Oreochromis niloticus: one gene and its partner. The protein of the gene in region 1 interacts with the protein of each later gene in a pairwise test. Links are inferred from orthologs where the notes say so. Each region holds a gene or a part of one and is shown on either strand. Other genes may lie near its edges.

Evidence for each region.
Region 2: the proteins of neuronal migration protein doublecortin (region 1) and zbtb5 interact in binary tests that used the Homo sapiens proteins (3 or more experiments, as listed by UniProt). The two-hybrid records come from large-scale screens. The link is inferred for Oreochromis niloticus from reciprocal best matches to the Homo sapiens genes DCX and ZBTB5.

What each region holds. Positions count from the first base shown.
Region 1 is NC_031975.2:12,237,760-12,249,173, reverse strand, and holds the start of neuronal migration protein doublecortin, read right to left. Parts: upstream 5,526-11,414; 5' UTR 5,373-5,525; intron 1,117-5,372; 5' UTR 1,055-1,116; coding exon 691-1,054; intron 1-690. UniProt on the Homo sapiens protein: Microtubule-associated protein required for initial steps of neuronal dispersion and cortex lamination during cerebral cortex development. May act by competing with the putative neuronal protein kinase DCLK1 in binding to a target protein.
Region 2 is NC_031971.2:22,561,827-22,574,133, forward strand, and holds the start of zbtb5 (zinc finger and BTB domain-containing protein 5), read right to left. Parts: upstream 5,691-12,307; 5' UTR 5,662-5,690; coding exon 5,630-5,661; intron 5,305-5,629; exon of another isoform or gene 5,168-5,304; intron 3,612-5,167; coding exon 3,398-3,611; intron 3,312-3,397; coding exon 2,451-3,311; intron 876-2,450; coding exon 1-875. Other genes in the region: polr1e (DNA-directed RNA polymerase I subunit RPA49), read left to right, coding at 5,988-6,063, 6,297-6,400, 6,483-6,559, 6,640-6,725, 6,842-6,897, 7,000-7,144, 7,238-7,348, 7,522-7,618 and 4 more; fbxo10 (F-box only protein 10), read right to left, coding at 12,033-12,213. UniProt on the Homo sapiens protein: May be involved in transcriptional regulation.

The DNA of each region.
Region 1 (11,414 bases):
ATAAATATGCATAAAGAAATGTGGCTGGTGGTTTCTTTAATGATAAGATCCTAATGATTTCAATTAACAAACTGCTCTCTCATGCTGAGTGTAGAGATCCAACTTTAAAGTACAGAAGGAAGCCCTCTGAGAGTCTAAACTCAACACTGAATCCCATTAAGATCAAGCCAGAAGACCCACTTTCAGCTTTATTAGCTGCAACAGGAATTCCCCAACAGCAAGATGCTAAAATACAATTTACATTTAAAAAGGAAAGAGCATGCATGTGGATGTTTAAAACAGACTGGCTCTTTCACTGCACTGCCCCATTTCTCTCGATTTTTTTTTGCCTTTGTCAAAAGAAAAAAAAAAATGTTTTAAACAACTTCAGTCAAACAAAACTGCCCAACTACCAAAAAGTAGACCGATGTCAGTCAACTGCATCAACACAACTCTTTAGATAAGAATTTAATACATCATATGGGAGATTAGAGAAGTCTAGACTGAACAGATTAGACTTGTAATCTCAAAAAACTGCAAGTTTTATGTTTCTAATACCTCTCAGCAAAACTGGATTGAAACTGTAGGGTATCTTGATGGCCCACCTTTTCACAGCGGTTCTACCTTTACCAAAACCTTACAATGCAACAATATTTCATGGTGTTAAATCATATACTACACATTTGCTTGGTCCTGCTGGAACATTCTTACCTTCCTCTAGGTCATCCAAGGTTGTGATCTTGCGTGCACCATCAATAGTGAAGATGAAGCGCACACCCTGTGGCAAATTGATGTGGTCGGACAGCGAGCGCGTCAAGTCGGCCAGGAGAGCATCAAAGGTGCGGAATCGGTCGTTGGCTACCGCGTACACGATGCCTTTGAAGAAGCGGTCTCCGTTGCGGTAGAAGCGCACCTTTTTGGCTTTCTTCTCATTGGTGAGGGCCTGCAGAGTGCGTGTGCGGTAGAAGCTGCAGTGGGCGCTGTGAGTAGGGCTGGGGAGTCCATTCATACGCCCGCCCCGTGGGGTACGAGAGGCCTTGTCTCGCTCGTCAAAATGTCCAAAGTCTAGCTCCATGATGACTGAAAGTTATGGTGGTTGTGACAGATGTGTTGGGGTGGTGACCAGCTCCAGAGAGTCTAGGGAAAGAAGGAAACAAGTGCTTGTAATGTATCACCAGATACTGCGGTAGTTAATGGTTGTATATTCATGACATTTCACTTAGAGCAACATTTAATTCCATGATTGTGACTTATTCATAAATCTGCGTCTAAATAATCCAAAATCCAGAGCTAGGTGAGGATTAGGCACAGGAGTGAGATTAAGACGATTAGCCAATTATATCGCTAATATTAAAACTGGAAACCAATAGTCACTGAACTTAAATTTGTACAGTGCTGCCCTGGCACTGCCCATTAATTGTTTTCTTCTTAGACAAGGAGTATGTGTGCACTCATGGCATCTGAGGAACTTAACACCCAGTGGATTTGCCATTTTTAATTCCCCTGATATTTATGCAGTATAAAAACATGTATCCAATATAAAGACGGTATAAAAACATGGATATGTTTTATAAGAAATGAAGAAAAGAAAAATATGCCGATGCAGACTGGAATGCCACCAGGTGATAATTGTTGTTGCAAAAAGACTTGAGAAAACAGCTTTCTGACTTCACCTCTATCAACACTTTCCTATGAATTTATGGGTTAGACACTCATTTGGGGTCATACCAAATTAAAAAAGAAAAGAAAAATGAAGTCCGTTTTTAATTACAAATCGTTAGCCAAGGACCATATAGTTTCACAATCTAATCTGCTCCTCCTTGTCACATCCATTTTTTGCAACCAAGATGGTGAAGGCGGAAACAATAATACTGAGGCTTCAAAATGGGATTTGAGAAACTAATGCATGACATCTTGGTAGCAACGTTCATGCCCCTGTATTTATCCCACTGTTAGCAGGGAGCACAGCTAACAGGCTAATGTTTGCCTCCATTTTCTTCTCTCCTAGACTGTCCTCACATCAACTATTTCAATAAAGCTGCTCTCATTTAAATCATTTTCTTTTTTTGTAGTTAAACAACATAATGAGCATTACATCATTATGACACATGGAGCCCATTAAGGCTTCATGTTAACCAGCTGTCATTTATAAGGCATTTCCAAAGCTGGCACTGTGTGCAGCTAAAACTCAGATTTAATCATGATATCTAAAAGAAAAAAAAAAAAACAATGCAAATAATTCAGAGACAGCTGCAGGTTATATTTACACAGAAAATAGTCACTCAGACACAACAGCAACGGGACGCTTTCTCACATTCACTTAAATTAATTGCATAGCAGCCATATTGGTACTGCCTTGTTTTAGCTAAGGTATCCATGGCAACAGCCGGCACACCATTCTTCCTGAAAGAGGCGTGGGCAGCGGCAAACCGGTGCATTTAAAGCTACACGTACTAAAACCGCTGGTCATCAATCCATACTGCATGTCGAGCTAAATCTTTGCCACGAATGCATTAACATTTTAAAAATGCATGCAACACGTGACTTTTAATAAAGACTCTTTGAATTTAAACACATAAAATAATATGACCCTAAAATGCTCCAGATGCAATGAGTGTGCAGCAGTACTTCATGACTGTTAGAACCACACTGCTTTATGTGGCATGTAGCACATATGATAGCTCCCTCTCTTCTTCTGAAGTCCGCCTACAGACACCTCTGTGCAGCTGTCTCACTTGGCCAGATGAATCAGTAAGTGATGAATCAGTAAGCTAACCACTAACACAAAAGGTTTTGGAAATAATGATGATGTCAACTTGTATATTGTCCCGTTAGATATCTGAGATCATTTAAACGACGCAATCAAGGAAATTATACAGTAGGTGTGCAGTAGTGCTATTGCGCACAAGTCAGGGAAAACTTAGAGTACTGCTATTTATAAGCATATTAGTTTTATAAGCTACTTCTGAAATGGTAAAGTAAACGAAAGCACAATTTTAAAATAAAATCGCAGATAAGGGCATTAGAAAATTTACAACACTTTAAAACTAAGCTGTGAAGAATTTAAAAAAAAAATTATAATCTGTAACAAATAGACATATTAGACCTCAATTACAGCTCTAGCACATATATACTGTATATTAAGCATTAAACATCCTACAGAACACTTAAGGACACATGTCTCCTTAAGGATTCGCTCATAATTTGAAAGAAAAAGGAAGCAGAAGTTTAAGTTTTCTAGGACTTCATCCCCCCGTCGTGTTTCTTAGAAATTCTGAAAATGACGCACCTGCTTAGCCAATGGACAATAAACCACTTATTCTATGAGTTTGACTGCCCAAGGTTTTATAGCAAAAGAAGTAGTCTGCTAGTTAACCTCCCACCTGATGACCACAAATAAACTCGCCAAAGCCACAAAAACTCATTGAAGGGCATCTTTCAAACTGATACTTTTTCAACAACTGACACACACACCCATCAAACGCCCACACCCATTCACATGAAAGGGGAAGTGCAAAGTTTAAAGCCCCGCTCCATGAGCAATGTCTCCCCACTTTAAACTTTAAAAGAGATTGTTCTTTTTAAAAACATATTTGACGAGACTGAGCCGAATAGCACAAATGTGAAGTGTCACTTTTCTGTCACTTCTACAGGCCCCGATATCTTCACAGGCCTTGTCATTATTGACTGAAAGGTCACTGGTCTTTGAACACAACTCCACTCCGAGTGGCATTTTAACAACTCAAGATTTGACTTTGAAATTTTTCAAGTCACTGAAGACAGAATTCATTTGGCATCTGCCACTGGAAGTCAATCTTGCACCGTAATATGAGGCGGGGGTCTTTCAAATCATCAGGGAGTGTTTCAGTGGATGTGTGTAGGATGTGAAATTTTAAGTGTCATTGTTTTGCAAAATTCTCAAACTAAAACAAAGCTTTTCACTTCCTTCTTCACATGCGAGTCATCTGATGTACAAAAAACACGGTTTTCTGCTTTCAGTAGACCCGATATGGTTATATGAAAATGAAGAAGAAAAAAAAAAGAAGAAGAAGCTGCTTGGAAAATAATAAAAATTTGAGGCCCCACCTTTAAACAACAAGCTGTTGTGCTGTGATATTGATTGCAAGCATATATCCAGCCCTGGTGCTAATGTTAAGAAGGTCTAAACCAATTAGTCAAAACATAAACACAAACTAGTGAATGACACAATGTCACAGCCCATAATCCTCCAATATCCTGCCTCTTTCAGTACCACATATGATGTATGCGATTACAGCATAACCATACTGACAAACGGGGGGGGGGGGGGGGGGGGGGGGCAAATCACCACCCATCTATGTGGCAGGTCGACCCCCCCCTTTCCACCAAGCATACTAACCTTTGGCTGATCTGCTGACTGGTGTTTTATGATAAGCACACTGACAGGGGAGGGACTTCTGTTTACTGGGTGCCCCTCAGCTGACAAAGGCCAGGTTTCAAGCCCATCTGCTGCACTAATAAGCAGAGCGAGCAGTGACCCTTCCCCAGAAAAGCAACCACTAGGACAGTCCATTGTCTCAAACAGGGTGCCTGCCTTCAGAGTGACATCACCATCACTGCTGCTCCTGCTGCAGCCGGCTCATTCTCCTGCTCAAGTCCAGAAACTACATCCTCCCACAGCTTTTTAGTGTTAATCTCGACACGACTGTTTAAAGATCACCTCTCTTTGTGGCTCACACACTTGACGTTATTAATCAATAAATCTGGTTTAAAATATGCGCGCTTTCCCCACATCCAAATTAAGCGCAGACCTGGACATCAGGCAGCACTGCGGTATCATTGTGTGGTGTCATTGATATATTTGTCTGGTTCTGTGTTCCTGACTGAGCCACCCACCCACACACACACACACACACACACACACACACACACGCACACCACACTCCTGACAAACCAGCACCACATTATGACTCTCCAGTCCGCGTCAGGAAAATTGATCTGCGTGCGGTATGTCTCACACCAACACACGGAAAGGTAGGTATAAAAAAAAAAAAGAGAGAGAGAGAGAGAAAAGAAAGAAAAATAAGAGCCATGAAAGGAAAAGTTTCATGACACTACTCTTTTCATTTATGATGGATGGAGTGTGGCCACATGGCAGAGACAGCAGCTTAAAATGCAAGTTTTTCTTGAAATAAAAGGGGAGGGTTGGGCGTGCGCACGCCACAATCCACCTGCTCAAGCCTAAATCTAAAAAGAAAAAAGTCTGATATAATCACTTCCAAAATGCAAAAAAATAAAATACTACAATGATATTCAAAGTTGCCCCCTGAGAGTCAAAACCACTGCAATGTAATATATACTTTCTTTAAAAATCACTGAAGTCTGCTGATTATCCCACCCAGTAGCGGACTCACCTGCGTCGCTGATTGCGGAGTGTGTGGGGGAGTGGATGTGAGTGTGAGTCGATGCTGCAGGATAGCGGCACGCCGTCTCTCCCCTCGCCTTTGTCTGTTTCCGTCTGAGTGCCGGAGTCACTCCTTGCTTGAATCGAGCAGCCACTGGGTCCTAAAGAGCAGTGGACCCGCCCACTGAGGAAAAAAACTGTAGGTGCCAGTCAGTGTGGGCTGGGGTGGAGCTCCCATCAGGGTCACCAAAGGTAGCCCTAACGAGCAAATGAGCAAGAATTAAAGGTGGGGATTATTTACAAGTCATGGTTGAAAGATGAAAGCGGCTTTTATCATGTGATGTGTGAGTGTGAGGCAGATCTTTCTGTTAAGATGGGAGAAGAACATTTATTCTTTTTTATTTTATTTTTTCCTGTAAGAATTTCAGCTATTTGTTTTATTTTGAAGATTGTGGCTTTCTGTGAGTGAACTGTGAGAGCTCGCTGAAGCTAAGACATCACGAGTGCGTCCCTTTCAGACAAACCACAGTCTGATGCCTTTGGTCTGGTGGAGCTCTTTGTTAGGAGCAGATAAAAGCTTGACTAACTCGCGGTGATTGTATTTGGCTTTTTTGTGTGTGTGTCTTCTCCTAAAGGAGGATTTCATTGTCAGTGAACTGTATATTAGTATCCCAGAAGTTGATTAAACATCACGTCTGCCCATGTTCAAAAGGGCGGCTTGCATTCAGCCAGCTTGCTTTCTTGCAGAACATGTGCATTGTGAACATTTCCCACAGCTTCAATGGAAGGTGATTGTTTTCTGACTTGAATTCTACTTTTCAGTTGCGTGTTTGCACTTAGTGGTAACAGGAAAAATAAAATACCTGATAATGGGTACGTTGACCCTAATGGAACAAAAGTTTGATTTTGCTTATGAGGCAGTTTGTACGATGTAATGTTACACAGAAATGCTGTCGTTTTAAAGATGTCACACAAAGAGGAACTCATGCTGCAGAAAGCAGTTACTATGCTGCTCGACAACAAAAAAATTAAAAAAATTAAAATTAAAGGAACACTTTGAAACTGCATCTGATCTCAGTGGGAAAAATCATGCTGTATATCTGTAGTGATGTGTACTTGGTAATGTGTTAGGAATGAAAGGATGCCACATGGTTTGATGGAAATGAAAATGATCAACCTACAGAGGGCTGATTTCAAAGACATTGCACAGAGCAGAAGGCTAGTCCATATTGCAGAAATGTCATTGCAACAACTCAAAAATGGTACTCAGGAGTTTGTACGGCCTTCCTGACATTGTCATGTACGCATGCCTGGTAACATCATGCTCCTAAGTTGACAATTAATGGTATCCTGATTGATCTCCTCGTGGATCTGGATCAGGGCATCACTGAGCTCTAAGGTGCAACCTGTTGGCAAACTAACCATGACGTCCCGGAGGTGTTCTATTGGATTTAGGTCAGGCGAGCATGGAAACCAGTCAGTGGTGTCATTTCCTTCCTCCTCTAGAAACTGCCTGGATACTCTCACCACTTGAGGGCCGGCATTTTTATGGACCAGGAGAAACCCAGAACTGACTGCACCATTGTAAAGTCTGAAAATAGGTCCAAGGATTTCATCCTGATGCTTAATTGCAGTCAGGATGCTGATGCCTAGCCTTTAGAGTTATGTGCATCGCTCTATGGATATGCATCCCCAGACCATCATTGACCACCACCAAACCGGTCATGCTGAACGATGTTACAGGTGACATAGCGTTCTCCACAGCTTCTCTAGACCCTTTCACTTTTGTCACATGTGCTCAGGGTGAACCAGCTCATCCGTGAAAAATACACAACACCAGTGGTGGACCTGCCAATTCTGGTATTCTGGGCAGTGAGCACAGGGAACACTAGAGTCAGCCTCTCAGGCCACCCTCGTGTAGTCTGTTTCTGATTGTTTGGTCAGGACATTCACACTAGCGGCCTTCTTGAGGTCATTTTGTAGAACTGGCAATGTTCATCCTATTCCTCCTTGCACAAAGGAGCAGATCCCAGTCCTGTTGATGATGGGTTAAGGACCTTCTCTGGCCCTGTCCAGCTCTCCTACAAAAACTGTCTGTCTCCATGTTCTTCAGACTGTGCCTGGAGACACAGCACACATTCTGGCACGTATTGATGTGCCATCCTGGAGGAGTTGAATTACCTGTGCAATCTCTGTAGGGTCCAGGTTCCGCCTCATGCTATCAGCAGTGACACACCCACCTTAACCAAATGCAAAACTAGTAAAAAATCAATCAGAAAAGATGAGGAGAGAAAAATGTCAGTGCCCTCCAGCTGTAAAACTATTCCTGTTTTGGAGGTTGTCTCATTGTTGCCCCTTGATTCCAACCAAAGCAGCTGAAACTGATTAACAACCCTTTTTGCTACTATTTGCTACTTCACTGATCAGATTAGTATCCTACAAGTTTAACTGAATTGATGCTATACTCCGATTAAAAAGACTTCCTTTAAGTTTTTTCTTTTTTGGGGGGGGGGGTGAACAGTGGACAAAGCCACTCTGTTTCACAATGATATTAGTTGGCAAGTAAACAGTTTTAACCCTTGTGGCTATGAAACTTGCTATGATTTTTTTTTTTACAAATCTTTGTGCCAGTTATGTTAGTGCCGTATCAATATCACTGAAAACTCTGTTGGCCTAGTAGAGGCTTCATAGCTAACACCATAAACAGGGGAAAGGTGAGCTGCAGCGCTTTAGAGTTGTCACATAATACTCCCAACAGGAATAAATGTAATTTCAAGCCAAACTTCACATAACAAATGTGCACCATTGTTCTGAAATTTATGGACCAGAAATGACTTCTGGGGCTCAAAAGCAGGCCACAAAACAAGCGTATAGAGTTCCACGAATGGCATTTTTGCAATAATGCCTGAACAGCACTAAATTTTTAACACCTCAAGGTTCACTAAATATCAGTCTGAGCGCTCCTACACCATATTTTCTTCTTTATGAGCCCAAATGTCCCAAAGTTATGTTTTTCAAACCCTGTTCTGCTCACGAGTTATCAAATCTTGGGTTATTTTATTCCATTTTATACTTTAAAAGGCAACTGAGTGTGTTCTTTCAGTCTAACTTGCACTGGATTTTGGATGTAGATAGAAAGTGAGTTATAATCAGTTTTACATAGAGTACTGTCAAATTTTGTAGATTCAGATTTCAGCCTTTTTATGTAGATTCTGACTCGATTAGACATTTATGTGCATGTTTGCATGTGGGAATTTAACTGCTCAAGGCATCAGGATGTTAATTAGGCCTGGAAATAAGGATGGCTTTTTTTATACTGTGGCAGCCATGTTAAAATTGATGCAAAAAAACATTGTTAAGTACCCCACTGTGTTAAATGAAAAGACAAATGAATAACAGGTCTCTGTTTTTTTAAAGAGCCAACAAAAGAAGTTGACTCTTCTCACAGCAGGCTTCGGTGTCTTTGTCGTCTATTCCTCTCCCCTCAGGCGGAAAAGGCTTCACTTTAAAACTCAGCTGTTGTCACATTCTGGAGCCTCTCCTTTGCATGTCACACATAACTCTAATTCACTCTGATCACTGGCTGCGCCACACCTCCCTCAGTGAGCTCCCCAAGGGCTGTGGGCCACTGCCTGCAGTCTGACAAAGAGGATAGAGGAGAAAGCGGCAGTGCAGGAGGTGGTTTATTCGGTTGTGGGCATATGGGGAGAAAGCAGATTTGGGTTTTTTGGCTCTCAGCTGGGTGCTGTGTCACACAGAGCCACATGCCAAAAGTGAACATGTACTCAGCGACTTTCCAAATCTGGTCACATAATTCCATTTTTTGGCTATTAAATCAATGTCTGTCTGGCTGTCTGACACTTGAATATTATTTTTTAAAAATGGGCCCCAAAGTTATACTATGTTGGAAAAATTCCAGTTGGTTTCTTCATTTAGAGTCTGACTCACAAGGCTGCTCCATCGTCTTAATCTAACACTTGATTCCAGTATTGAAGCTAAATAATTCACAAGTTAAATCAGTGGGTGGGAGAAACCACTCCTGCCTTGAATTATTTTTATTTCAGTGTGTCATCTTCAGCCATCACCTCATGTGGCGTCCCTCAGGGTTCAATACCTGGGCCCATTCTGTTCTCCCTTTACTCCTAATAGGTCATATGCTATAACTTACTAGCTGATTGGGAAATTCTAATTGAAAATCCCATCCAGTTATTTGTTTTTTGACAATCAAATCACTTTGGTTCCCTTTTCACTGCGTTGTGTTAAGTGCTATAAAATAACGCAGAGTTTTAAGCTGCTGTGACATGACTAAATCCAGTGTTAAGAGGAAGTGTTTCACATTGAATACATCTGACAGCTTCTCTCTTGTTGTCTGCTCATATTTTGTCAGTGTTTTTCCTGGAGAGAAATGGAGATGGAAACCTCCCAACACAATAAAAAAAAAAGATGAAATGGCATCCATAAAAAAAAGGATATATGGATGGCAACTAGAAAGTTCTGAAGGTCATTCTAGTTGGTCACCAGTGTGGTAAACAAATAACAAGGAAGAATTCAAGACTATATTTGCCTATCTCTTTACTATTTAACCACAGGTACAATTTCCGATACCTAATTTGTTTTTATACATCTACATGGACACACTGAATTTTAGTGTGTTTATTTAGATATTTCTGGGTCAACAAACTTAGAGCAAAGCACACTGGCCAGAAGCACTACTGTCCTTGCTGTCCTTATCACAAGGCTGAACGAGGTGGACTGCAGGATAAGCATAAGTGGTTCACAGCTGGTGTCTGGGGGAAACACGAGAGAAGGGCGGAGAAGGGCCGATGGCAAGGGTGGGGGTGCGTGGTGGTGATTGTAGGGGGGTTTGCAACCATGACGACTGATGGAGGAGGAAGTAAACAGATGTCCACAAGCTGGCAGACCAGGCCCAAAGTGGTCAAGTCACTGAGAGACAGGTGGGTATCCAGAAAACACAGGGGGGCTACAGATTGAGGGCGAATGCAGAATGCAGAACAGAAACAGTGTAGTGTCCAGAAATAAATCTGCCATCAAGCAACGACATAAACTACACTCAGATCTTACTGTTAGTGGATTTCTCTTTCATTTAGAAGAAATGCAGTATTCACTGACACCGCATGACTCCATCTGGTGTAACACACTACAGCAAAGTAATTACTGAGATGATCTCGAGTCAAAATTTTCACCCATCTGATGGCACACTAATCAAGCAAAAACATCCTTCTTATATTATTGATCCCATTTGTCCTCTCTTCACCTTTATTGTAGATTGATGTCTTGCAGTGATGCAACAATGATGACAGTGCACTTCTCAGTTCAGCACATTTAACTAATCTATAACCTTCCTATTCATAAATCGTTCACAGTGTTTTGCTGAGTCACAGTAACAGACTTGACTATAGACTTGAAACTGGAAAGCCATCAGTTTAAATCCCCTGGTAAGCTTCGAAATCTGAGTGCATAAAGTAAAGGAGACATGCTGTCGACTGCCTCAGCATTAACTGTCAGCATGACCTTGAGCAAGGCACTTCAAACCCAGCTGCTCTGAAATGCACTTATACACTGGATCTGACTGTGATGACAAAAAAAAGAAAAAGAAAAAGCAGGAGGAAATGAAAGTTGAGGAGTTTGGGGTTCAGGGTAATTTTCAGGAAATCCTGCTGCTCTTATAGTTGTGATGGGCAGAAATCGTTAATGTGCTGCCATGTGTCATTAGTCTTGAGATTTAACAAGGAGTGACAGTGATGAGTGAAATAAGAAAACAATCCAAAGGGGATGAATAATCCATGGGGGTTCAGCCACAGGATAAACACCTGGACCTATAAACGAAGAACTTGGGCAGTTGAATGATGAATAAAAAATGCTGTAGGTAAAAAATCCTGGTCATCATTTTGGTTGAAAGTGACAAATCTGAACAACTGTAGGTTGAATTGCTACAAAAGTGTACATTCATGTTTCCAGGAGGATGAATCACTATGACACAGATAATCTCCTGACTTTTTCTTTCCTTTTTTCTTTTTTAGATTTTAATTTT
Region 2 (12,307 bases), on another chromosome or scaffold:
AGCTGAGGGGGGAGGGAGGTGGGCCTGTTGCCACTCATCTCATACCCTCCGTTCTCATTGAGGAGCAGGGGACCCGGTAGACTTGATGAAGAGGAGGCAGCATCCTGAAGAATCCCCCCTACTGCCTCTTCTCCTCCCATGCCAGTGGTCATTTTTGGAGCAATGCGTCTGTAGCCTGGATAACTCAGACCTGTGCCGCTGACTCCTCCTGTCTCTCTTGAGGGCCGTCCCAGTGAATGAAGCCCCAAACTTGAGCGCTGGAATTCCAAATCAAAAGGATCCACTCCTCCACGTCCTCCTCTTGAATTTCCCCCATTTCCTCTGGGGTTTCCTAAACCATCATGCAGGGGGCGGAGGAACAGAGAATCGGCTTGCAGATTATCTCCAAAACTGCTTCTACTCTCACCACTGAGTGGGCCTGATTGCAAAAGAGAGGAAGAAGCAGAGCCAGAAGTGCCAGCAGCTTCCTGCCTCAGCAGAAAGCGATGTGCTACTGCATCCCCAGTTGTTGTGTTCGGAAGGTCGTCCTCTCCGGCAACCATCCCTGAGCTGCCAGTCGCAAAATCCTTTTGGCTGAGGAAGCTGGAAATGCTGAACCCAGGTTTGCCACTCAGTCCAAAACCACCTCCGTTCGCGCCTCCTCCTCCTATACTGCTCTTGAGGATGAGCTGGGAGCTGGGCTGGAGAAGAGAGTCGGAGCTGGGCTGGGGTTCAGAAGTGAAGCTGCGGTCGCTGCTCTCTGGGCTCAGCTCCACCTTCTCTTCGTCCTCCTGGCACCCAGGCTCAGGAGGATCACTGCCTTCGGCCTGCGATGTGACGTCGCTAATTTCATCAGCTGGCTCGGGAGAACTTAGCGGCTCACGTTTAACAACCACCTAAGAAAAGCAAGAAAAGGAAAGAAATGTTTCATCTAAGGCCAAGGGAGATAAGACCTCAAATTTTAATGTAAGAATTAATATTCACAACACTGCCTAAAGGTCTCACAGTTGGACAGAATTTTATTGTGGGGACACTTCTCACAGAAACCTCAGAGCCAGCTCCCGAATGGGTAACATCAGATGCTGTAAAATAATCTCTTGAACAAGCCTGCTTTGCCTTACCAAGACGTTGTATTTTTTCTAGCATTTCATTTCGAAATAAAGAGTTAACATCCAACCATTTCCCCATTCTTCTGTCACAGTGCGATGCTACTTTGTTGACGTGTGTCGTCTTAGCAGCTGTAACAGTAATTTGCAGGTCCAGGGTGGCGTATTAAGCCATGGTGATAAATTCCTCTATATAAGTTGTAAAACGAATAAAACCTCTAAAGTTAATCATAAATACTTTTTTCTAACTCTAACCTATAATTGGAAATACTTAGTGGAAAATTAACAAGTTAACTTTTGCAAGAAATGGCTTCTTCGCCATTACTGCTACTGCTGCAGAGTGTGTGTGTGTGTGTGTGTGTGTGTGTGTGTGTGTGCGTGTGGGTGGGTGGTATCGACAATAGTATGGAGCTTCGAGTAGTGTTCTGATGATTGGTATCAGTAGTGTGGAATTCTAGTACCGTGACAACCTTACAATTGACACTTGATATAGATATTCAAAACTTGGAATTATTGTTATAATCTGTCCTTATTTGACTTATTTAATCATTCCATACTGTTAAATGACAATTTGGGGTTATTTAAAATCTATACTGGACAGTCTTTTCAGGCTAAAGTAGGTACTCTGCAGTGCTGTGGTACAGTTTACAGTAATGAAGTGCAGGATGGGTGTTCACGATCACTGTTAGGACTGGTTATGACAGCTAGAAACTCGATGGCCGAGTTGTCCCTCCTGTTTATACTTCTTTGAAGTCTGCTTGAACTCTTCTGCCTGGGGTGTGTGTGTAGTTCATGGACTGTAATGTCAATTATCTGCACATTAGTTAACGAGGCCACAAAAACGCTGGTCAAATTTATGTCTGTTGGATCCAAGTAGATGCGGAAAATGTAATCAAGGCTTCAGGGTAATAGTCATTAGTTTGAATTTAAGTTGATGACATTCTTTACTACCCTTCACCTGCCAATCTCCACCTTTAGACATTACACCGCCCAAAGGTTGGAGAGTGGCCACGACAGCTCATGTAACATCTGTTAATATCTCGTAAATTGCAGCAAGCAAAACCCACAAAGACCAGTGAACCTCAGAGCCAGCACAGGTCAGCTGTCACAGTCCATCCGCAAGGAAATCAAATCCTCAGAACAGAAATTATGTGTGACTCTTTTCTAAGTGAGTCATTTTCCCCTGCTGCATTGCTACACCCGATCTTATGACTTCCCTCTTCTGTCCAATCCCTTAACCCCTGGTTGCATTAATGACATTCAAACCAACAATTTCTGTTAAGTTTGTTTACTTCATACAGACAAGCCTGAGAGGTCTGGAGAGTTTTATCTATGGAAATATTCCTGCCCACTGAAGAGACAAATCTGTAGCTTTACCTTCTGCTCCTCTTCTTCGTTCTCCTCCTCCTCTGTTCCTGATTTTATTTTCACCCCTGCTCTGCTGTCCTGCTGATCCTGGTCATCCATGTCCTCTTCTTTGTTTACTCCTTGAATTCTCCCCAAGTTCTCCTCCTCGCAGCGTCCACTATCTGACTGACTCGGCATCTGAGGGTCATCTTGGGAAGCAGCTGCTAACCCAGTGATCGCAGGGTCAAGTTTAGATTCGTCCCCCATCTTGTGGGAATCTGGGGAGAGAAGTGCTCCATCCTCCCGCTCTGCGTTCACCCCTTCTTCTCCTAACAACCCGAGGTTAGGCGCCGAAGGACGCTGTCTCTGTCTGGGTCTCTCCTCTGAAAGCCCCAACGCCAGAGAGGGCTTTCGTTTGTGGAAGCGTCGGATTGGGAAGGAGGCCCTCTGGTCAACCACCCTACTGCCAACTACATTTCCCGCCCGGTCGTCTTCCATCCCACCCAAAGCAGAGCTCACCAAGCTGAGCCCCAGCTGCTGCAGTAAGAAGGAGCGCTGCAGCTTTGAAGTGGCAGCATTTGCTGCAAGGTTAGCATTAGCTGCTAATGTCGGGTTCACTGCTAAATCAGCTACTTGCTGATGCTGCTGCTGTCTGTGCCTCTGCTGCTCCTGCTGTGGGTGGTGATGGGCAGCTCTGTCGGATGAGGGGGACATGGGCAGCGTGCGTGTTGTCAGGTAGTGTTTGCAAGCCTTGACCACATTGTTGAGGTGCAGATGCGAAGCTGCGAGGAGAACATCCATGACATTGCTCTCCCCGAGCATCAGTGTCGACGTGTACATCATGTCCACGAGAGCGGCAAAGGCCTCGGCCGTCACCACCTGCAGAACGCACACAGTGGTTTCAATCACCATTAGAATGACTAAAAACACTTTTTTCGCTTTTTTGACAGCGTTTTCTTTCTAACCTCGCTGTCCAGCTGGATCATGTTCATGCTAGCATCTCCCTCTGCGACAGTGAACAGCGCTCTGAAGTGGGTGCTGCAGGCCGCCAGCACGGAGCGGTGGGCTTTAAAGTGTCGGCTGCCTACCACGATGACACAGTCGCAAAGCTGGCCATGGACACGCTGATAGTTCAGCTGCTGGAAGATCTGCTCAAAATGGCCTGGGAAATCCATGGCCCTGCAGACAGAGGAGCAGAGGGTAGGTGAGTTATGCAGAACCACAGTCAGTTAGCAAAGATCAGGTGATCTACTGATGTCACTGCATCTGACCAATCAGCAGCGACCTGGAGCTTTTCAAACTTCACTGTTCTTCCACAAATTGGGAAATTCAGTTTACTGCCCCTACGTACTCTTACCCTTATCATCATAATGCCCAAACCAATAGTTCTAAGTTAATTGCTGTATTACAAGAAACAGACTGTATGTAGTTGCCAACTTGACCCCATTCAGTAGCACACTGACTGCAGCTTGCTTGCTTGACAATCCATTATGCATTAAAAAAAGAATAAAAAACTTAAGTAAGATGAAGTTATCTTACTGGATAAAACAATTGGGGACAAAGTGATAAATCACAATATGTGTCACTTCAACACTTGTCACACTTCAAAATGTTAAAAAAAAAAAGTTTATTTATCGAAGTAAGACAGGAGAGGATGGAGAGAGGTTAGATTTTAAAAGGTAAGGACTGCTCCGTGACATTTAACCGACTGGGAAGTTAAAGCTGAAACATAACATCCTCATTCATTTTAGACACTTGTGAACTGATACCAGATCTATACCTGATGTGTCGCTTATGTTAAGTGTATACTAACTTTTTGCTATTCCAAGGTTGCATGAAAAGGCAGTGTATGGCAGGGTAAACCAGTTAATCTGCGGTACTGTGGAGAAGTTTACAGATGTGGCGTTTATGGTCACTGTAACAAGGAAACATGTCAATTTAAAGTTATACTAAGGAGATTAATTCACTGAATTCCACCTTTATAGTGTGTAGGGGTGTCAGAAATCTGCCCTGACAGCCAACAAGAGCAGCAACTCAGGTCAGCTGATCCCAGCCCGAAAACAAAGAAAATTTCATTGTGCTTACAATAAAAATTACTTCCAAGTGATGCTGCACTACAAAACTAGAGATCTCACACCTACTCGAGTCAAACTTAAACCCACGATTATGCTCATTTGCATCAGTTTGCATCTGAATTTGGGCTGAATTAATGTTTGAACTCCCATAATATTGTTTTATTCTTATATTATTAATGAAGTTAAGTTAGCTTTGCACAAAACAGCTGATAGAAATGTCCTCCAAATAGCTCATTTTCACTGTATTTCGGAGTCTGAATGCAGCACTTCATTATTTTTGGAAACAAGTATGTGTATTTCTACATTTCTGAGTACCTGTGGATGCAGTCTACGATGTCTGAATGGTGATGGGGGAGAAGTTGGATCAGTTTTTGTATTTACTGGCTAACAGCCAGGATGCCGTGGTACTGTCATTTTATTTCGCTTACTGATTACTGTGCACCAAATGTTGCGTTTTCCACTGCCTTTGCCTTCTTGCTATAAAGTCATATATTGACGAACAGGTCTAACTTTATTGGACCCCATCGTCTTTACACACATTTAACGTCACAACTGCACTGGAACACAATAGCATGGGATGCGACTCGGTAAAATGGCACAAAAGAAGCAGTCTGCTGGTACTGTAAGTCAGAGCAGAGAGCCAGCAGTACTTTAGGTTACCTTGAAAAATCCGGAAAATGCAGGTATCGAGAGGGAGAACAGGGCCCCGATTAGCTAAAGTTAGCTGGCTGCAGCCCAGCAAATAGCCCGTTAGCTAGAGTAAAAGCAGCGGCATGCGGTCACCGAGACTGGCCCACAAAATGTCCCCTCAAGCCGAGCTGTGGATAGCTAACATTTCCGCTGCTACCTCTCGCGTCCCCCTGCGGTCGACTTCCTGACGGTTTGACCCCGAAGCGGCTCGTTTGGTTTTGGCCGTGGGAACGTAAAGCTGGCCGCGATGGACGGTGCCGCGGTGTCCGTTGATCTCCAGCGCCTGCCAGGCTGAGCACACAGCCACGGCGCCAGAATAACCGTTAGAATAATATTAATGCCTTCTATCAATTGGTAAGCGGTAGCGTCATGCTGTGTTGTGTTTTCTAATATTTCCCCCCGCCGACAGACGGTTTTTCCAACCAGACTCACGGGGCGGCGCTGTACCTCTTTTTCGCGTCCATGACCTCACCCGAGGTGAAAAGCTGCAGCTTTACGGTTTCACCACAAGGTGTCGCTGCTGCATCCCCACACACAACCAGTTAGCCAAAGATTATAAACAGCATCGAGATGGTAAATGCTTTGGCATTTTTATTTTTTTAAAGCCCGTATAAAGGATAATCCTATAATCCAGTGAACAAAGACATGGCAGAAGGAACAGTACAGGCAAAATAAAGAAATGCACCAGGTAAAGTATCCACAACAAAACTGGAGAAATTAGAGCAGCGGCTTGGCGAAGCGAACACGGAAGTACAGAGGAGTAAACTCTTGCCCTGCATGAAAACTCATCATGACAACAGTCATGGCCGCCTCCTGCTCGTTTGTGTGCTGCGGAGAGGAGAGAGAAGCCGATAAAGCTGTCGTCGGTGAGTATTCCTCATTTGTTTATTATGTAGAATTTTTCACGGGGATGATGATGATGACACATGACTCTGGGTTGGGCTTTGTAGAGTTTATATTTTTAAAGCATTTAGGTGCACACGTGGGCACTATACCGTGTTGTTGTGTCCGAGGCTCTCACGTGTGTCACTGTACAGTCACATCGGTCATTGAGGTTTGATCACGTATAATTCCCGGTGTTTCTGTCTCAATCCCACAGTCCGCTTTTCTAACGGCAGCGTCCAAAATGCAGACAAGCTGGATTTCAGCATGTTGAAGAACACGGAGGAAAGTAACCCCAGGAAAAAGACCAGGCGGATACTGGTGAGGAAGATGAGGAGTGTGTCTGCACTCTCCGGGCTGTGTTGGTATACTCTCAGTGTTCTTCCTGGTTTATTTTATTTAGGTTGCCGAGTCAGACAGACTGTCCTATGTGGGGCAGAACTTTGGAGTGGGGTCCATGAAGTGCAATAATCTTTGCAAGTAGGTCTTTGCTGCACATTTTGGCATGTTATGGTCACCGAGGAGGAGATTGATAAGGAGGATGTTTGGCATCTCTTTAGATATTATGTGGGCGTGCTGAACAAGCAGACCATGACGATGGAGGTGCACGAAGCTCAGCTGTTCAACATGCAACCAGTTATACCAGGTAAGAGAGCTATAACATATCTGTTGCTATTTTTAACTGCCCACAAAGACCAGAAGCTGTGGAAGGAATGCTTTGTGTGCCTTCTGAGAGTCGCTTTTTATGACTTTTGTCACCAGGAGAGACAACAGACAGTGCAAAACCCCAGGACACTACTCAGACCTACAGAGAAAAGGTGCATTTGCTGCTGCTGTCTGTCCATTAAAAGACATCTGTGCTTAATTATGTGTAATGTGATGTGAATATCCTGTTATTACCTTTAATGTTTCCCTTTCAGGTTGACTTATTGATTGAGGCCTTTGGTACCAACAAGCAGAAGAGAGCTCTGAGCTCTCGCAGGCTGAATCAGGTGGGCAGTGAAACCCTTCAGCAAGCAGTGGCAAAGGCTGCCAACACTGTGATTGGCGAGAAGGGTCTGGAAGGTAAGCTGCACAGTGGATGCCTCTCTTCGGAGAAATCCGAAAGAATGTTTCTCTTTCCATGTTTTTTTTTCTTAACCTTCCCTCTCTGCACAGCTTTGCAGCAAGAAGTGGCTGACGCAGAGTCGCAAGGAGACCTGGCTCTGCACCTTCCCCCCTGCAATGCAAACGCAGACAAACGAGAGGACGTCTATCCATTTGATGAGCGTATCTTTTATTCCTGTGCTGGAGGAGGAATGTGTTTATGGAAATAGGAAGGCAAGGAATCCATTTGAATCCCAGATTACAAGATGGGGTACTAGCGTATGCATGTGTTTGCAGGTTTTTATCTAGAGCTGTACCAGACTTTGTTCAGGTGACCCTTAACCGAATATCTGCAGTCTTGAGCCCAGTGGAGTTTGGTGCTTTGGAGCAGGGTGGTGCCAAAATGGCAGCACTCACCCCCGAAGAGCTGAAGAAGATGAAAGATGATGGAAGGTAGGGGCAACAAAACCTTCAGAGACATTTTATTAATGTGTTCTTGCACTTGAGGTTGATCTTGTGCTTTTTATCTTTAACCTAAAGGTGCCTGAGTATTGTGAAGCATCTAGAGAATCTGCCAACTGAAAGTGAAAGCCGAGACAAAACAGCACGCTGTGCTTTCTACCTCTCTCTGCTCCTCAAACTGGCTCGGGAGAGGAACATCACCCGCAAGTGTGAGTGAATTTTGTTAGTATTATGATGTGGAAAGTGGTATACAAACTTTCACCATTAGAGGGTTGTAGTAATTCATGTTTGCATGTACAGTTGGGCAAGAGGAAGGCTGCCCTCGCATCATCCAGGGCAAACTCTTTAAAACGTTCACCGTGGAGACCTTCAACAATGGCAGGTATGGTGGTTAAACACATGTAGCTAATGAAGAAAAATGTTTCTGGAATTTGATTTTGTTTCACTAAATTAATAATTTCATTAGTAATTCAAAAATTTACCAAATGCTAAACCGAGACAGGGAAGCTAAATAATATATACAGTTCTAAGAAGTTTACATACACTCATCATGAGCATGAATGTCGTGGTAATTTTGGGCTTTTAATTGTGTGAGGCATTCACACTATTGAGATCCTGTTTCTCTTTAAACTTTATTCCTCTACCTTATTCTAGTTGCTCCGACCTTTGCTGGTTAATTACTCCCTCAGTTTTCATCTGATTTTCACCATTCAAATTTCCAACTGTTCTGCTCTTTCTGCTAATGCCAGCTATATCTTTTGGTGCTCATAACTTTTATACTTTTTGAGATATTAAGCTTTTTATGCCATTTTTTGGCCCATTTTGCTGAATGGGACCACATTATCAGTGTGATCACCAGTTTTGCTTGCCGGGCTGAGCCATGTTTTGGCTCAGTGAGATGAGCAGCCGTTCTCAGACCAGGAGGGCCGGGTCAAATCCCGCTTATGGCAGCATTTTATTCAGTAAACAGTTCAACTGTTTTAACTCTTTTCAAAACAGTTTTCAGTGTCTTCACCTCTTCAGCACAAATTTCATTTTTTTCATCTCTTTTTTGCTGAACATTCAGCTTCTTCGCCTCTTTTCAGCAGAAAGTTCAGCTTCTTCACCTCTTTTAAGCACAAATTTCAGTTTCTTCACCTCTTTTCAGCACAAAGTTCAGCTTCTTCTGCACAGTGCACATTGTTTTTCTCATTATATCTCTGATTGGCACTAGAACTGGTTTAGCTCAGTGGGATGAGCAGCTGCTATGAGATCCGGTGGCGAAGGTTCAAATCCTACCTGTGGCGGTTGCCACACATGTTCCCCCGCTTGCATGCACTCAGCTTTCTTGACACTCTTCACTGTACCCTTTCAAATTCAGCAAGCACTTCAGCTTCTACAACTCTTTTCAGCAGATAGTTCTGCTTCTTCTGCTGTTTTCAGCAGATTCCACTACACGCCATTCACACTGCATTTTCCCAGGAAATGCAACTTTTTCCAGTTACTTCTTTTAACTGTTCTTTTCTCAGCGTGGAATGATTGTACAGCATACACCTAGATACACTCACTTAAATAATTTAGTAAGTGTTGTTAAAGGTTCTACAATGTATTTTAACAAAGTTAAGGCCTATTAGCTTCTCGATAGTGGTCATGATTGACTACATCTTTTAGTTTCTCTTTGCAGCATAAGAAGGGTTTGTTTGATAGCACCAACTGGATTGAATAATACTCAGAATAATACAAAAGTCCAAGAAACTAATTGAAGATCTAAGAAAGAGAACTGTAGTTTCTTGGACACCCTCGAAAGAACTACAGATTCCAACATCATCAGTTTAAACAGCTGATATGTCATCACTTTTCCAAAAATGTCACCCTCATAGGAGAGAAGGTGGGCTAGGACAGTCAGGAACAACCCAGAAACCACCATGGCTTAAGCCTGCCATGAACTGGAAACCGCTGGAACACCAGCATCACTGTCCACAGTGAAGCACCTTTTTCATTGCCATGGACTGAGAGGGTGCCAACCAACAAAGAAGCCCCAAACACACATTAAAACTGGTTTTAGAATGAATAAAGCAGGCTAACATTAAGCCTCTGGAATTGCCTTTCAAAAAAACAAAAAAACCCCCAACTCACCCTGTTTAAATTTGTTCAGTGTGCTTTAAAGCCAGGCAACTAACAAAGTTAAATGAACTTTACCAATTCTACCAAAAAGAGTGGTCAAATATTCAGCCAGAATTACACCAGAAGCTTCTTGAGGGCTGCCAAAAAAAATCTCATATTAGTACAACTTACTAAGGGACATTAACCAAATATTAGTGGGGATGTGTGTGTGTGTGTGTATGTATTTGAATCTGTATGCATACATTTGACCTATGTGGATTTCAGAAAATCCCAAATAAATTTAAACTTGTGCACCTAATTTTTGTTTAACTATAAGTTATTAAAGGTGCATGCTTTACTATCATTTCACTCTGGAAAACAGTTCAAATAAATAATGAAAAAAAAAAAAAAAAAAAAAAAAAAATCGCCAAATTATTTATGGCAGACATTCATGGCCATGATGAGCTTATGTAAACATCTGACCACAACAGTGTATTTGTTGCTGCACTGATTCTTTTCAAAAGATGCACTTTCTTTACTTTAACTTTTCTGTTTAGAATCCAGAACATGGTGTCATCGTCAATGCGGGTCAAACTAGCAGCATACTGCTTAGCTCTGCTGCTGCATATGGGTAACATGACAGCTGACCTCACATTACTGCATCGTGACCTGGGAATCACTGAGGCAAGGTAAGCAGGGGAATAAAAAGGAAGCCTTTAAAAATTATTTCTTACATTTCATACATTGTTTAAATAAAGAGTAAAATCATTAATGAAGTCAATAATGTGGACTTAACCACACATACTACTATCCTCCTTCTTTACTCTGTAGTTTTTGTTTAAACTGTAAACTATTGTGATTCTTGTGCTCTCCTATAGGATGACTGAAGTCGCAAAGTCAATGAGACTGACCTTGGTGAAACCAGCCCGAGGCAAGGGTGATAACATTGAACTACAAGATGACAGCAGACTGGCCGCCCTCGTTCTGCCTCTGATCAAATACGATCACTTCACTGAGAGACGGAAACGCAAAAAGATGCACTGAGGACGCAAAGGAGAACCGAGAACTGGACAGAAAGAAATGAATATCAAACAAATGGCTGCATTAAACAAGGCTTGTTTATTAATGCTTTTGTAGACAAATAAAGTGAACTTCAAGTCGAACGTGACAAGCTTACATTTAAAGATAAAAAAAAAAAGACTAAAGAGCTGTAAACAAATTCTAGATGACAGAACATCTAGCAGGAACGTATAGGCACGTTTGTAGACATCACATATTGCACACTACATATCTTCCCCTTCTGAGTGTGTGGACAGGATATCTTGATAACGGACTTCCTCTTCTGTCTGCTGGTCTCTTTTTTTTGGCTTTTTTTTTTTTTTTTTTTTTTTTTTTACAAATGCAGACAAATTAAATAAGCTGTTAAAAAAGCTAAACTGTCATCAGACAATAGTGGATGGTTGTGAGATTATATTTCGGCAAATGCAAACCATCAAATGTGATTGGTTGGTCGAACTTAAGTGCAGGTGGACTACAAATGGAACTATAAAGCTTAGACTACCAACAGTTTTTTTTTTTTTTGCATAATCATATGCAGATATCTGTTTAGTTTTCTCTGCAGCATGTTGACAGGATCTGAAATAATGAGATGTCTCAAAAAGCGAAGTGCATTAAGTTTTAAAAACCACAAAGGACATTACGCAAGAAGAGACCCGCCAACAGACAGGACAGAGACAGAATCTTAGTTTTGGCTTAGTTGCATAAACGCCCTCACGCTATGAAAACACCTTCCCTCGCTACAGCCATCCCTTAAATAGTCAACCAAGGCACAGCTTTACTTTGACCCACTGTCAAAGCCAGCATTTCTGAAGCCTTTGACTCCTGCTAGGATTTAGAAATGTGCACTTCCTAACCAGCGAGTCCCTATAAGCAAAAATAAGACTACCAAACAAGTCTGCAGTAAATGAGCTAATGATAAACTAGGCAAAGCTCTAGTCTCAAACAGATTCCAAAGGTGTATGAATGTCTTGTACTCCAGCTTCGGTTTTCAATAGCCCACGTTTTATGAGCACAGTAGCATTTTAATCATAGAAGTACAAAAGTCTAATTTCAGATTTTCAAAGTCTTCTTCCATCTTAATAAAAATGGGGGTGGATGGCTCCTTTAATGTTTCAGTTGCGGTCTCCAGCTACTTGGACAATTAACCGAACCCTTATTTTGACAGTCAGTGCCCCACGTGTATGGTTTACAGCAGTTAAGGAGCAACCAGATGCTGACCTCCTGACCCTGGCTATCATATTGGTTTGTAAGTTCTTGCCAGTATTCACAGAATGCTGCAAAACATGCTGCCGCTGTGGCAACCACTTTCCACAGTTGCGCCGATCCTGGTGGTCACGGAAATTCCAAGTCCAGAGGGATACTGGGATGAAGAGAGACCTGCAGGGGAGCTGGCCAGTGGGCGAGGAGGAGGGTTTTCCATAACCCAGGGGGGAACAGATGTACAGCTATGAAATGAAGAGAGGAAAAAGGGTAAGCAACAATTAGGAGATGCCCTTTAAGATTATTTTTCACCCCACCCCTATTTGTTTTTTAAACCAT